3 linked regions of the Caenorhabditis elegans genome follow. The protein of the gene in region 2 purifies or fractionates together with the protein of the main gene of each other region. This does not show direct contact. Each region holds a gene or a part of one and is shown on either strand. Other genes may lie near its edges. The genes, in order: pfn-1, ahcy-1 and enol-1.

Evidence for each region.
Region 1: the proteins of ahcy-1 (region 2) and pfn-1 fractionate together in Caenorhabditis elegans (co-fractionation; one large-scale study listed by BioGRID). This does not show direct contact.
Region 3: the proteins of ahcy-1 (region 2) and enol-1 fractionate together in Caenorhabditis elegans (co-fractionation; one large-scale study listed by BioGRID). This does not show direct contact.

What each region holds. Positions count from the first base shown.
Region 1 is NC_003279.8:12,919,971-12,923,722, reverse strand, and holds pfn-1 (Profilin-1), read right to left. Parts: upstream 1,720-3,752; 5' UTR 1,684-1,719; coding exon 1,558-1,683; intron 714-1,557; coding exon 441-713; 3' UTR 175-440; downstream 1-174. UniProt on the Caenorhabditis elegans protein: Binds to actin and affects the structure of the cytoskeleton. At high concentrations, profilin prevents the polymerization of actin, whereas it enhances it at low concentrations. By binding to PIP2, it inhibits the formation of IP3 and DG.
Region 2 is NC_003279.8:6,834,711-6,838,462, reverse strand, and holds ahcy-1 (Adenosylhomocysteinase), read right to left. Parts: upstream 1,995-3,752; 5' UTR 1,979-1,994; coding exon 1,757-1,978; intron 1,689-1,756; coding exon 933-1,688; intron 865-932; coding exon 529-864; 3' UTR 323-528; downstream 1-322. Other genes in the region: dpf-3 (Dipeptidyl Peptidase Four (IV) family), read right to left, coding at 1-109. UniProt on the Caenorhabditis elegans protein: Adenosylhomocysteine is a competitive inhibitor of S-adenosyl-L-methionine-dependent methyl transferase reactions; therefore adenosylhomocysteinase may play a key role in the control of methylations via regulation of the intracellular concentration of adenosylhomocysteine.
Region 3 is NC_003280.10:8,928,894-8,932,645, reverse strand, and holds the start of enol-1 (Enolase), read right to left. Parts: upstream 1,644-3,752; coding exon 1,552-1,643; intron 541-1,551; coding exon 455-540; intron 299-454; coding exon 1-298. Other genes in the region: mrpl-50 (Large ribosomal subunit protein mL50), read right to left, coding at 1,837-1,962, 2,009-2,207, 2,261-2,793; cct-2 (T-complex protein 1 subunit beta), read right to left, coding at 3,163-3,335, 3,382-3,752.

The sequences.
Region 1 (3,752 bases), 6.1 Mb from region 2:
GCAAACGATGATAAAAATCTGTAAAATGATTCTGACCAAAAAACCGCGCCGCACAATTGCAGTGTGGGCGTGGTTTCGAAAAAAACACGCGATAATTGCTCCGAGCACAAAACTCTTCTCTCACTCTCTTTCTCCGTCGATGGGAGATGAAAATGAAATAATCGAGAAGGCATTGAATTGGCAATGAATTTACTAGAAAACAAAACGGGGGAATACAATACATTATGATAAAGCTGAAAGTGAAATAAAAACTGTTTCTGTGTTTGCTCTGGGAATGGGAGTTTTGAGGGAAAGATTACGCGGAAGAAAACCGAATTTCATCGTTGTACTCGTAGAAATCAAGGTTTGGGAGAAGGGAGAAGGGGGAAGTTTGCAAAAAAAAAATAGAGAAAAGCGGGAATAAATACGAATCGAACAACAATCGATAGAGAGAGAAGTATTTAGTATCCAGCATTGTTGAGATAGGTTTGCATACTCTCGACAGCCTTGCGAACTTGTGCAGCAACTTCATTTGGTCCCTCGTAGACAGCAATCAAGACTGCAGACTTGGTCTTCACAGCGAAGAATCCAGTGTTCTCCTTTTTTCCGAAGATGAGCGATTCTTCGGTACGTGGAACGACGTAATGAACTCCTTCGATATCGGCTCCTTTTGCTGGAACTTGAGTGACGTCATTGAATAGGGCAACGAAGGTTTTGAGCTCTTCTTCGGATGCCTGGAAATTGGAAAAAATTAGAGAAGTTTTTGGACAGGAAATATTTCTTGTTAAAAAATTTGCGCTTTGAAATTTCCAAAAATTCGAAATTTTAAATCCAGTAACCCTAAAGTTAGCCTTTTTCCCCAATTTTCGCATTTTTAGGCCTCAAAACACTGAAATTTCCAAAAAAATCGGCTTATTCTTGGCCGAGATACTGGAAAATCACAAATTTCAGTCTGTGAATTTACATTTTGCAGGAAAAAATCTTCGAATTTTAATTTTTTTTTTAACGCTTTTTAACTCTAAATTTTCATGAAATTGAAAAATCTGAAAAAAAAAAGTTTAGAAAATTCCAGAGTAGGCAGGCTTCAGGCGGCTGAAATACAAGTAGGCTCTAATGTAGGTATCAGGCAGGCCACCTCGAAGGTAGTCAGGCAGGTAACTTGCCTGACCTTCAAGGTAGCCTAAGCCTGTCTGCTGCCTACTTGGGTTTCGAAGAAGTATAAACTATATGAGAAACAGGGGCTGGTAGGCAGGCACGGCCGCCTGAAGCCTGCCTAATCTGGAATTTTTTAATTTTGTTCGAAAAATAATGAAAATTTTGCAATTTTTGAGTGGATTTGCTAATTATTCCTGTAAAATGTAAATTCAGCGGCTAAAAATTTCGATTTTCAATTCAAAAAGTGAATAATTTCGCGAGATTTTCAGTTTTTTGGGTCAAAATGCGAAAATTCCAACAAAAATCGACCCCGCTAGCTCTTTTCAATCTCAAAAATGGGTCAATTTAAGGATTTTTCAATCGTTTCCAGTTTTAATCGATTTTTTCTCGAGCTTCTTCGATGATTTTCGTCCATTTCCATACCTTGAACACATTGTCAGCCTCAGTACGAGCCCAGACAGATCCATCAGCGGCTCCGACGATTGCACACCGTTTGATTGATGGAGCAGCGGCAGTCATTGTGTCGATGTAGGCATTCCATCCGGACATTTTTGTGTTTTGGAGGAGGTTGAAGCGGAGATTATACTGAAAAAATAAACATAAATTATGATTGAGATGGTTGGAGGGGTAATGAGAAATGATAATATGAAGAAAGAGCACAAATTAGGAGAAAAAGAGCATAAAATCGCTTGAAAATTACGGTTTTTGTAAACAATCGATTATTTTTTGATTTACTGCGCAAAAAATGGAATTTTAATGCCGAAATACCCAAAAATTGATATTTCCGCAGATTTTTTGCTTATCTGTGGTGTAAGTTGGTGGCGAAGAACTTGCGAATGGATAAAATGACAAAAACCAACAAAATCTCACTAAATTCACAATTTTCTCGCCAATGTAGTGCAAAAATTGAGCTTCTTTCATGAATTTCTTGGAAATTTTCTGTGAATTGAGCCGATTTAAACCAAAATTGGCATTTTACCTAGAGTTGACCAATTTTCGATGATTTTCAGACCATTTTCAGGCCAAAAAGGCGGAATTGAAGCTCGAAAACACCGAAAACTACCAAAAACTACGAAAATAGTAAATATTTCGAGTTTCAGATGTAGAAAACTTGGAAAAATTCAGCTTTTGGAAGATCTCGCCTCGAGAAATTAGGACCAACTTAAGGGAGAATTCTTTTTAAAAAAGCAACGTTTTGAGGCGAATTTTCAACTACTAGAGGATTTGAACTATCTAGAGCAATCTGAGAATTTAATTTCACAAGAAAAATGGCATAAAATCGCCAGATGACCCAAAATTGAGAGAAATTAAAGAAAACTTCCAATTTCAAATTCCGAAAGATGAAAATTGCTACGAAAACTAGAGGACATCTTTGACCACCCGGAACACTCCATCTAATTGGCTGGGCAAATGGAGAAGCAGTGAATGACAGTGAGGAAAAGCAATAGAGAGAAGAAGAGAAAGAGAATGTTTGCATGCCATCTGGTGCTCTCCTTCTTCCCCTTTTCAACCCGAACAACGAGCTTGTGCTCCTGCTCCTGCCTGCTTGCTCCGCTGGTCAGTTATTCACCCATAAAGGACGAAAAGAGAGACAGAGACCGCCCATCAAATTGAATGTGTGTGTACTACTAAAAGAGGGTGAAATAACCCGCCTCAATCCATACTAATGTCAAATGCAGTTGCAATTTATATTGAACACACAGACCCAGAGACACAACCAAAGCCAATGATGAATCATTTTGAAGAGAACACAGCGAAGACGACGGAGGAGAAAGAGAACCAAAAGGCGATAGAAGACGAGTTGCGAAACAATTCAATTTGAACAAAGCTTTCTAGCTTTGAAAATTGCGAAATTGAGCGCTGAAAATGGATCTTAATGCCGAGAATGACCAGTGGATTGCGAAATTGGAATGGTGAGTCACATGGAACAGCAGGTCGCCAAAAATCGTCGAGGAAGCTTCAAGTTGTTATAATATTCGCAGTTTTTTCTGCCAAGGAGATCTGAAAGTCATTTAGAAGAAAAAAAATACATCAAAATGCTCAAAAATCATAAAAATATTCGAAATTTTGATGATCGAAGCCCCAAAAAAGTCACGAAATAGTCAAAAGAGCCGCGAAAAACAGAAATTTCGTAGCATTGGCCGGATTTTTCTATAAATATTGCAGAAAACCCGAAGATTTTGTCAGTAAATCGAACGAATAAACTCCAGAAAGCGGAAAATGGGGAAAATGGGGAAAATTTTACATTTTTCTACAAAACACTCACTGTGAGCTGAAATTTCATCAAAAAAAATAGGAAAATTGAGAGTTTTCTAGTCGAAATCTTACGCTATGTGATAATTTTTATAGCTTTTTTATTTTTCTCGATTCACGACGTTATCGGATGCCGAAAATTGATAAAAAACTCTTTCTGAATCACCTATTTCCGCTCCTTCCTTACAGTTTTAAAGCAAGAATGGAACGAACTGAACTTTCCGGAAGAAAATAGGGTGGAAATCAGGAAAATTAGCGAATATTTGCTAGAGAATGAGGAAAATATATTCTGGCAATAACCGAGACAAAACGCGGAAAAAACTGCTGGAAATATCAATTTTGGGAGAAAACGCGAGAATTTTGTG
Region 2 (3,752 bases):
GCTCATTTTCCCTCATTTTCGTGTGGGTAAGTTGTTTTAGTACTGAAAAATCAATAAATGGGGAAACATTTTGCAGGTTATAGAGAAACTGATAAAAATTGAACATCATGGGAATTTCTGTAAATATAAAAAGTGAAACACGAAATGAGTGAAGCGTTGAGAGAAATAAAGAACTTATTTATCAATAGAGCGCCCTTCACCCCGACAAATTTAAAATTTGTTTTTCCCTGCTTGAAATTTCCCGGGCGTAGATCTGAAAATTCGATAAACTCACGCCTAATCAAACGTTTTCAGAATAATTTCTCAAACAATCGTCAAAGTTACTCCATAAAACATTTATGTCCAAAAGACAAACAACAGAACCAAATCAACGAGTTGAAGAAAAACGACTAAATCAGGCGATTATGTATTTGGGGGAAAAGCGGGTAGATGGGGAACAATACAACCAGTTCAAGATCATATGAAGTTTGAGGGCAATACAATTTAAAACAGTTAAAAAAATATCCGTATGGGGTAGAACCAACAAAATTAATATCTGTAGTGGTCTGGCTTGTATGGTCCGGCAACTGGAACTCCAAGGTATGAAGCTTGCTCGTCGGAAAGCTTAGTAAGCTTAACTCCCAATTGAGCCAAGTGAAGATAAGCGACCTCCTCGTCAAGGGTTTTTGGAAGAACGTAGAGTCCGAGCTTGTATTCTTGTGGAGTTCCGAACTTGGTCCAGAGCTCAACTTGAGCGAGAACTTGGTTGGTGAAGGAGTTGGACATGACGAAAGATGGATGTCCGGTGGCACATCCAAGGTTGACAAGACGTCCTTCGGCAAGGAGGATGACGTGACGTCCGTTCTTGAGGGTGTAACGGTCAACCTGAAAAAAGTTGGTTCAAACTTCTATCGATGATTGTGAATTCATCCTAATTCTGAACATTTTCTTACCTGTGGCTTGATGGTGTCCTTCTTGGTGGCATTGGTGTTGAGCCATTTGACGTCAATCTCGCAATCGAAGTGACCAACGTTGCAGACGATAGCGTCATTTGGAAGAAGCTCGAAGTGCTTTCCGGTAACGATGTCCTTGCATCCAGTGGTGGTGACAATGATGTTAGCCTTTGGTGCAGCCTCCTCGAGGGTGGTCACTTCGTATCCTTCCATAGCGGCTTGAAGAGCATTGATTGGATCGATCTCGGTGACAATGACACGGGAACCGAAAGCCTTGAGGGAAGCAGCAGATCCCTTTCCGACATCTCCGTATCCAGCGACAACGGCTACCTTTCCGGCGAGCATAACATCAGTGGCGCGCTTGATTCCGTCTGGGAGAGACTCGCGGATTCCGTACAAGTTGTCGAACTTGGACTTGGTGACAGAGTCGTTGACGTTGATAGCTGGAACCTTAAGGTCTCCCTTGGCGAGCATCTTAGCCAAGTTGTGGACTCCAGTGGTGGTCTCCTCGGAAAGTCCGCGGATTCCAGCGAGGTATTGTGGGTACTTGGCGTGAACCAAGTTGGTAAGATCACCTCCATCATCAAGGATCATGTTGAGTGGTTGTCCATCCTTGAAGACGATAGTTTGCTCAATGCACCATTCGTATTCCTCGTCGGTCTCTCCCTTCCAGGCGTAGACTGGGACTCCGGTCTGGGCAATGGCGGCAGCAGCGTGATCTTGGGTGGAGAAGATGTTGCAGGAAGACCATTGGACCTGGAAAAAGTTTCGATTTTTCAAACCAACTTATTTTAATACTAATTCTTTCAAAAAACAAGATTTACCTCAGCTCCGAGAGCAGTAAGAGTCTCAATGAGAACAGCGGTTTGGATGGTCATGTGGAGACATCCGGCGATTCTAGCTCCCTTCAATGGCTGGGATGGTCCGTACTTGGAGCGCATAGCCATAAGTCCTGGCATCTCATTCTCAGCAAGGATGATCTCCTTGCGTCCGAAATCGGCGAGCTTGATATCAGCGACCTTGTAAGCTGGCTTAGACTGGGCCATTGCGAATGTGTTTTACCTGAAATAATTAGAAATTTATTTTAATCTGCAGGACGGATAGGGAAGAGAAGCGAAGAAGTCCATAAGACGGAAATAAAGAAAAAAAATGAGACACTTTTTTGAAAGTTCGGCTGTGAAAAGGATAAAACAAGAGTTTGTGAAGAAAAAAAAACTGATTGTGAGAAGGTTATTTTCCAATTTATAAGTTGTTTTTGTTTATCAGAGAATCGAAAATAAACAAAAACAACCTTGGCTTACGTGGATTGCCAAAACATCAATTTTTAAATGGAAAAAAACAATAATCCATGTGTAAATAAGTAAACCCGAAAATACGGAAGATAGTTAGTGGACGAGAACTTTTTTAGGTTTTAGAGTTTAATATGTGGGAAAATCTATTAAATCTGGAACCATGACGAAGAAATTTACAACTAGTCGGTCTTTTAAACATAAAACAAAGCGAGGAACTTTGCAAAAACTTTTCCCAAAAAGAAAGCTTTTTCGAAATTTCTACTGTTTCGATCAAAGGCGCAGTGATTTTTCTCAGTGGGTCCCGCCACGAAGGCCTAAAATTTGGACTTACTCGCCGCGAAACGATGATTTTTATTTGAAAATTACTAAAGAAAATTTAAGAAAAAAACGTATTGACACATGAGGTGAGATATGCATCCTGCGATGCTCGTCAACCGTCAAGACAGCGTTATTTATGGAGAATTGGCGATAAAATCTTGATAGCCTTGTAAAATGTAAGATTACTTTGGCCGATAGCTTTGGTAAAGTGACCTTCCTGAATTCCACACCACCGCAGATTTCTTTGAAGATTCTGTACGACCTAGAAAAGGATATCACGTTTCAGATTAAATTTTAGGATTCGTCGATGATAGATTTCCCCCACTTTCCTCTTGTTCTAGAATGATTCAGTACCTTTTCAGTCTGAAAGGGAAAAATCACTTTCTTTTTTTTTTGCTAGCCCGTATTCCTACGGCGTTATTTCTGGCCCAACGGCGGCCTTTTATAGCACCCAAATGCCTGTGCCACATCAGTCTCCGCCCACTTTTCGTCGTGGATGTGCTGCGTCTCTCATTCTCCGCTTCTGTGTACTTTTCTATGTTAGATGTGCAGGAATGATAAGAGCTTGAGAGAAAGCAGAGAAAGAGGAAAGCGAGGGAAATTCAAAAATTAATTTTCTATTTTTGACACATTTTTTACAATGTGGCGCCTCAATTTGGATAATGTAATTTTTCATGCAAGACGTCGACCGGGACAGTTTCAAAATTTCTAAGTGATATGTTCTGAAATATAACTGTGTTCTGAAATATAATTTTGCTCATTACAATTAAAACTAAAATTTTCTTTGCAAATCTCGTTAAATTCTAGAAGAATCTATTAGAGATCTATGTATCTCTTACTTTCTATCATCCAAGGTCACTTCTTATCGTAGTTCTTTTTTCGAAATGCCCTCCGCCGCCAATTTCGTAGACAATTAGGTTTCGCTTATCAATTTTGCAAAGTTCAGGTGGTTTTAATGTCTAATAGAATTCTATAAACTTTTTAATGTTTTAATCTCCTAGAATAGACTTCATTTAATTTTCCAAATAAAATTTCTTTTGGTTTTTCCAAAATCCTCGAATGCTGAGAATCCGGTGCAGTTTCTCTGAGATATCTATTTCCCGGAAAATGATTTTTGTAATTTAGTATCGGAAATTTTGGCAAGGCGAATTTTTCTAGACCCACTTCGACCGTATACCTCATCTGGAATTCCAGACAGCTGATCAGCTAC
Region 3 (3,752 bases), on a different chromosome or scaffold from region 2:
AGTCCCTTGTGTACGGCTCCAGCCTTGGCGACAGCAAGTGAAACTCCGAGAATGGCGTTAGCTCCGAGGTTTCCCTTGTTTTCCGATCCATCCAAAGCCATCATGAAGTCGTCAATGTCCTTCTGTGCAGTGACATCGAATCCCTTGGCGATCAGAGCTGGAGCGATCTTCTCGTTGATGTTCGAGACGGCCTTGAGAACCCCCTTTCCGAGGTGAACAGCCTTGTCACCGTCACGAAGCTCGAGGGCCTCATGAACTCCAGTAGAAGCTCCAGATGGAACTGCGGCACGGAAGACTCCTGGAAACAAGAAATGATGTGATTTCGGAATTGCGTCATAATGTTGAAATATACTTCATGAAATTTCAGATTTGAATAAAACAAGATTAATCTTATTTTATTCAAATCTAGATTGGTTTTTCAAGTTTTGATAGAATTTATACAATGCTCGCTTACCTTTCTCAGTGAAAAGATCAACCTCAACAGTTGGGTTTCCGCGGGAGTCGTAGATTTGGCGAGCGTGGATCTTGGTGATTGGCATCCTGCAAAATGAACTATATGTTTTCAATAATCAAACAAGTATATAAAACTACGTGAGAAACGGGCACTAGTAAACAAAACAACTGAAAAGATAAAATGTTTGAGGCGAGAAGGGGTAAAGGAGTGCGAGAAGAAAAAGGCGGCGCCGTCAATAGACGGCGCAGAAAGTGGAAAGAGTGACGAAGGTCGCACGGAGGACACGAGACTCAGAGAAAATGCAGCTGGTTAGATGTGTTTGTGAGCGGCCCGAGAGCGCACGTTCAATAGAATCGCACGGACAGCCTCTTTTTCGTGGCAGTGAATAAAATTCGTTTGTAGATCTCAAAGAGACGCAGTTAAGATTCGAACTGAAGTTACAAAAAAAAGGCATTGCAGATTCACTAAGTTCTTGAACACTTCTAGATATTGAGAATTATGATTAAATTCGTCATGCCGAGAAGAAAAGAGGAGCCAATGCCTTGGGCTCGAAAACAAGTGAGGGGCCAAGGACGCCAGCAACTGCCGCTGGGGAGAAGCGACGACTTGAGCGGCTGCCTTTCGCCTAAATACGTGACTTACACGAAGTTTCAGATTGGCAAAGCATGCACTTCAGATTGGATTTGAGAAGCGAGTTACCAAATGTTTTTTATGTTCAGTGGTCAGTTTTAGAAGTGAGAAGAAGTGATAAGGTCTGATATGAGAAGAAATTGTTGATTCGGAAAATTTGCAAAACATTTCGGAAAAAACTTATTTTTGAAGAGAAACACAACTATTTTCTTTCTAACTAAAACACCTCAAAGCTTGCGTGTTGAATTTAAAGAAAAACGTTAGTTTGCACACACTATTGTTCAAAACCATTGAACAAGTCAAAATGAAACATAAAAGAAAAGTAAACATCAGTCAACGTTTTGGAAAAAAGGCACGGCAGACCCCATTACCCTGATTCAGCAGCCAAAATTTTGCAGATTGCGTGTGGAAGTCGCGGGAGCATGAAATCAACTGGCGGAAAATAAAGAAAAAGAGATAACCAAAACCTTTGTCCAGACAGATTGCTTTTCGAAGGCTGCCCGCCACCTCGAATGAGCGAAGTGAGCGAGTGAGCTGCCGAGGTGAATGGAACAAACATTTTAAATCAAAAACTGAAATAACTTGCGTAGAGCAAAACTTTAGAGGAAGATCAAAACGTGAAGAGGTCAAAAATATTTTTTTCAACGTCAATTTTATTTACAACAATAAAAATCGATAGATCAAACAAAAAGAAAATAGGTCTAAAAATACTAAATATGAAACTCTAATACAAAAATGAACCAAATTATTTTTTATTGTCGAATCCTAGTGAATTGCTTTGTTTTTAGGTTGTATCGTTTATCAGTGTATTTGTCCATTTGATTAGCAACTTCTGGATCCCATGGCATATTCTTGTCAGGACGAGTGTAATCAAATGTCTGAAAAATGCCGATTTTAAGTCAGCACTGAAACTTTAAAAATTACCTGATCATCATAATCGAACCATTCTTTTTTCGGTTGGAACTGTCGAAGTAGACGTTTCTGTCTCAGAGAGAGAACTTCACCACCTGATCCTGGGAATGCAGTGATTCCACCATGATACATGTGAGTGTCTTCAGGATGGAAACGTGCAGCATGCTCCATAATCGAGACGTTTTTCGGTTTGTTCTCATCGCGAGCCATTCTATAATTTATTTTAATTAATAATTCAATAAGCATCTTTAAACAAAAACTAACTCTGTATATTTTGTTACATTTTTGACAGGCGTCTGATAAAATTCGACGACGTCTGCCACTGTTTCCAAATGAAGAAGTTTTCCATTGGTTGGCCAATGTTCGATGGATTTTCCCAGCCTGTTCAACAACTCGAACTTTACAGAGTTATCTCCTTCCACAAATTTGTACTGATCCACGTTTTCAGACTTTACTCCAGCACTTCTTAGACATGATGACGCTGCTTCAAGTACTTGGTTTTTGACATCAACGCCGGGAACATAGTTTTGCGTGTATTTGAGAAAACCTCTGGCCCGGATGGCATCCGTGTCGATACGGCTCATCGTCAACAGATCATCGTCAAATTCAGTGACAGAATCAGCTGAAGCAGTAACTTGTGTGGATTCTCTAGCACGGATGCTGGGAAGCGTCTTGCGAAGGCTCTCCTGTTCTTCCAGTGTCAGCTGCTTTACTGCTTCCTTTTCCCCGGATTTTCCAAACATTCCTTTCAACAAGTTACCTTGCGATCGGACAAGCCTCGGAAAACTCCTGTGCATCTTTTGGCAGTTCTAAATTTTTTCTTTTAAGCTTTTTCTTTTCTCTTTAATCAGAAATATAAAAAATCAGATAAAAACTGGAATAAAATACATTTCAAATATTGTACCTTTTGTAAATCGCACTCCATTCATTTTAAAAGGAAAACAAATCAACAAGCAAAAACACGCGGTATTCTCGAATATTAAATTGAAAACGGGGGCATATAAAAACGGTAGGCAGAAGCAACAGAAAGTGTATCAAATTCCATCAAAAATAAGAATGAAGGGGACGAAAAAAAACGAGATACGATTGTGTTGAAGCACTCGATTAAAAGCTGAAAAAGGGAGAATAAAGTTGAAGATCTTTTAACAGTCTGGCGAACAATTTGATTAGCATGGTCGGTTATCTTGAGCACGGGCACGTGGAGCTGCCTTGATGATATCGTCGACGCGAAGAATTTGTTCCGTGGCTTCAGCGGCGGAAGAAACCATGCACAACTTCACATTGTAAGACTCAATAACGCCCAATTTCGTAACATCAGCAACCTCTCCTTTCTCGATGTCTGAAAGATAATTTTGTATAATGGTTAGATTTCCAAATGAACAAACCGATTCCCATATTGTGACGTCCATTGGCGTGCTCTGCACGGAGTCTTGTGACAAGTTCAGCCGAGTCAAGTCCAGCATTGTCGCAAATGATGGTTGGCAATTGAGCAAGGGCTCTTCCGAAGGCTTCAACGGCAAGGGCTTCCTTACCCGCAACCTTTTGAGCTTCGACGGCGATGGCTGAACTCATCAAAATTTCGCTCGCTCCAGCTCCGGCAACAGTCTTTGATTCTTTCACGTGAGTAACGAGAACACAAAGGGCATCATGGAGGGATCTTTCGGACTCATCAAGAATCTGCTGAGTTGCTCCACGAAGAACGACTGAGCAAGCTTCACCCAATTTGACTCCCGAGAACCGAAGAAGTCTATCTTCT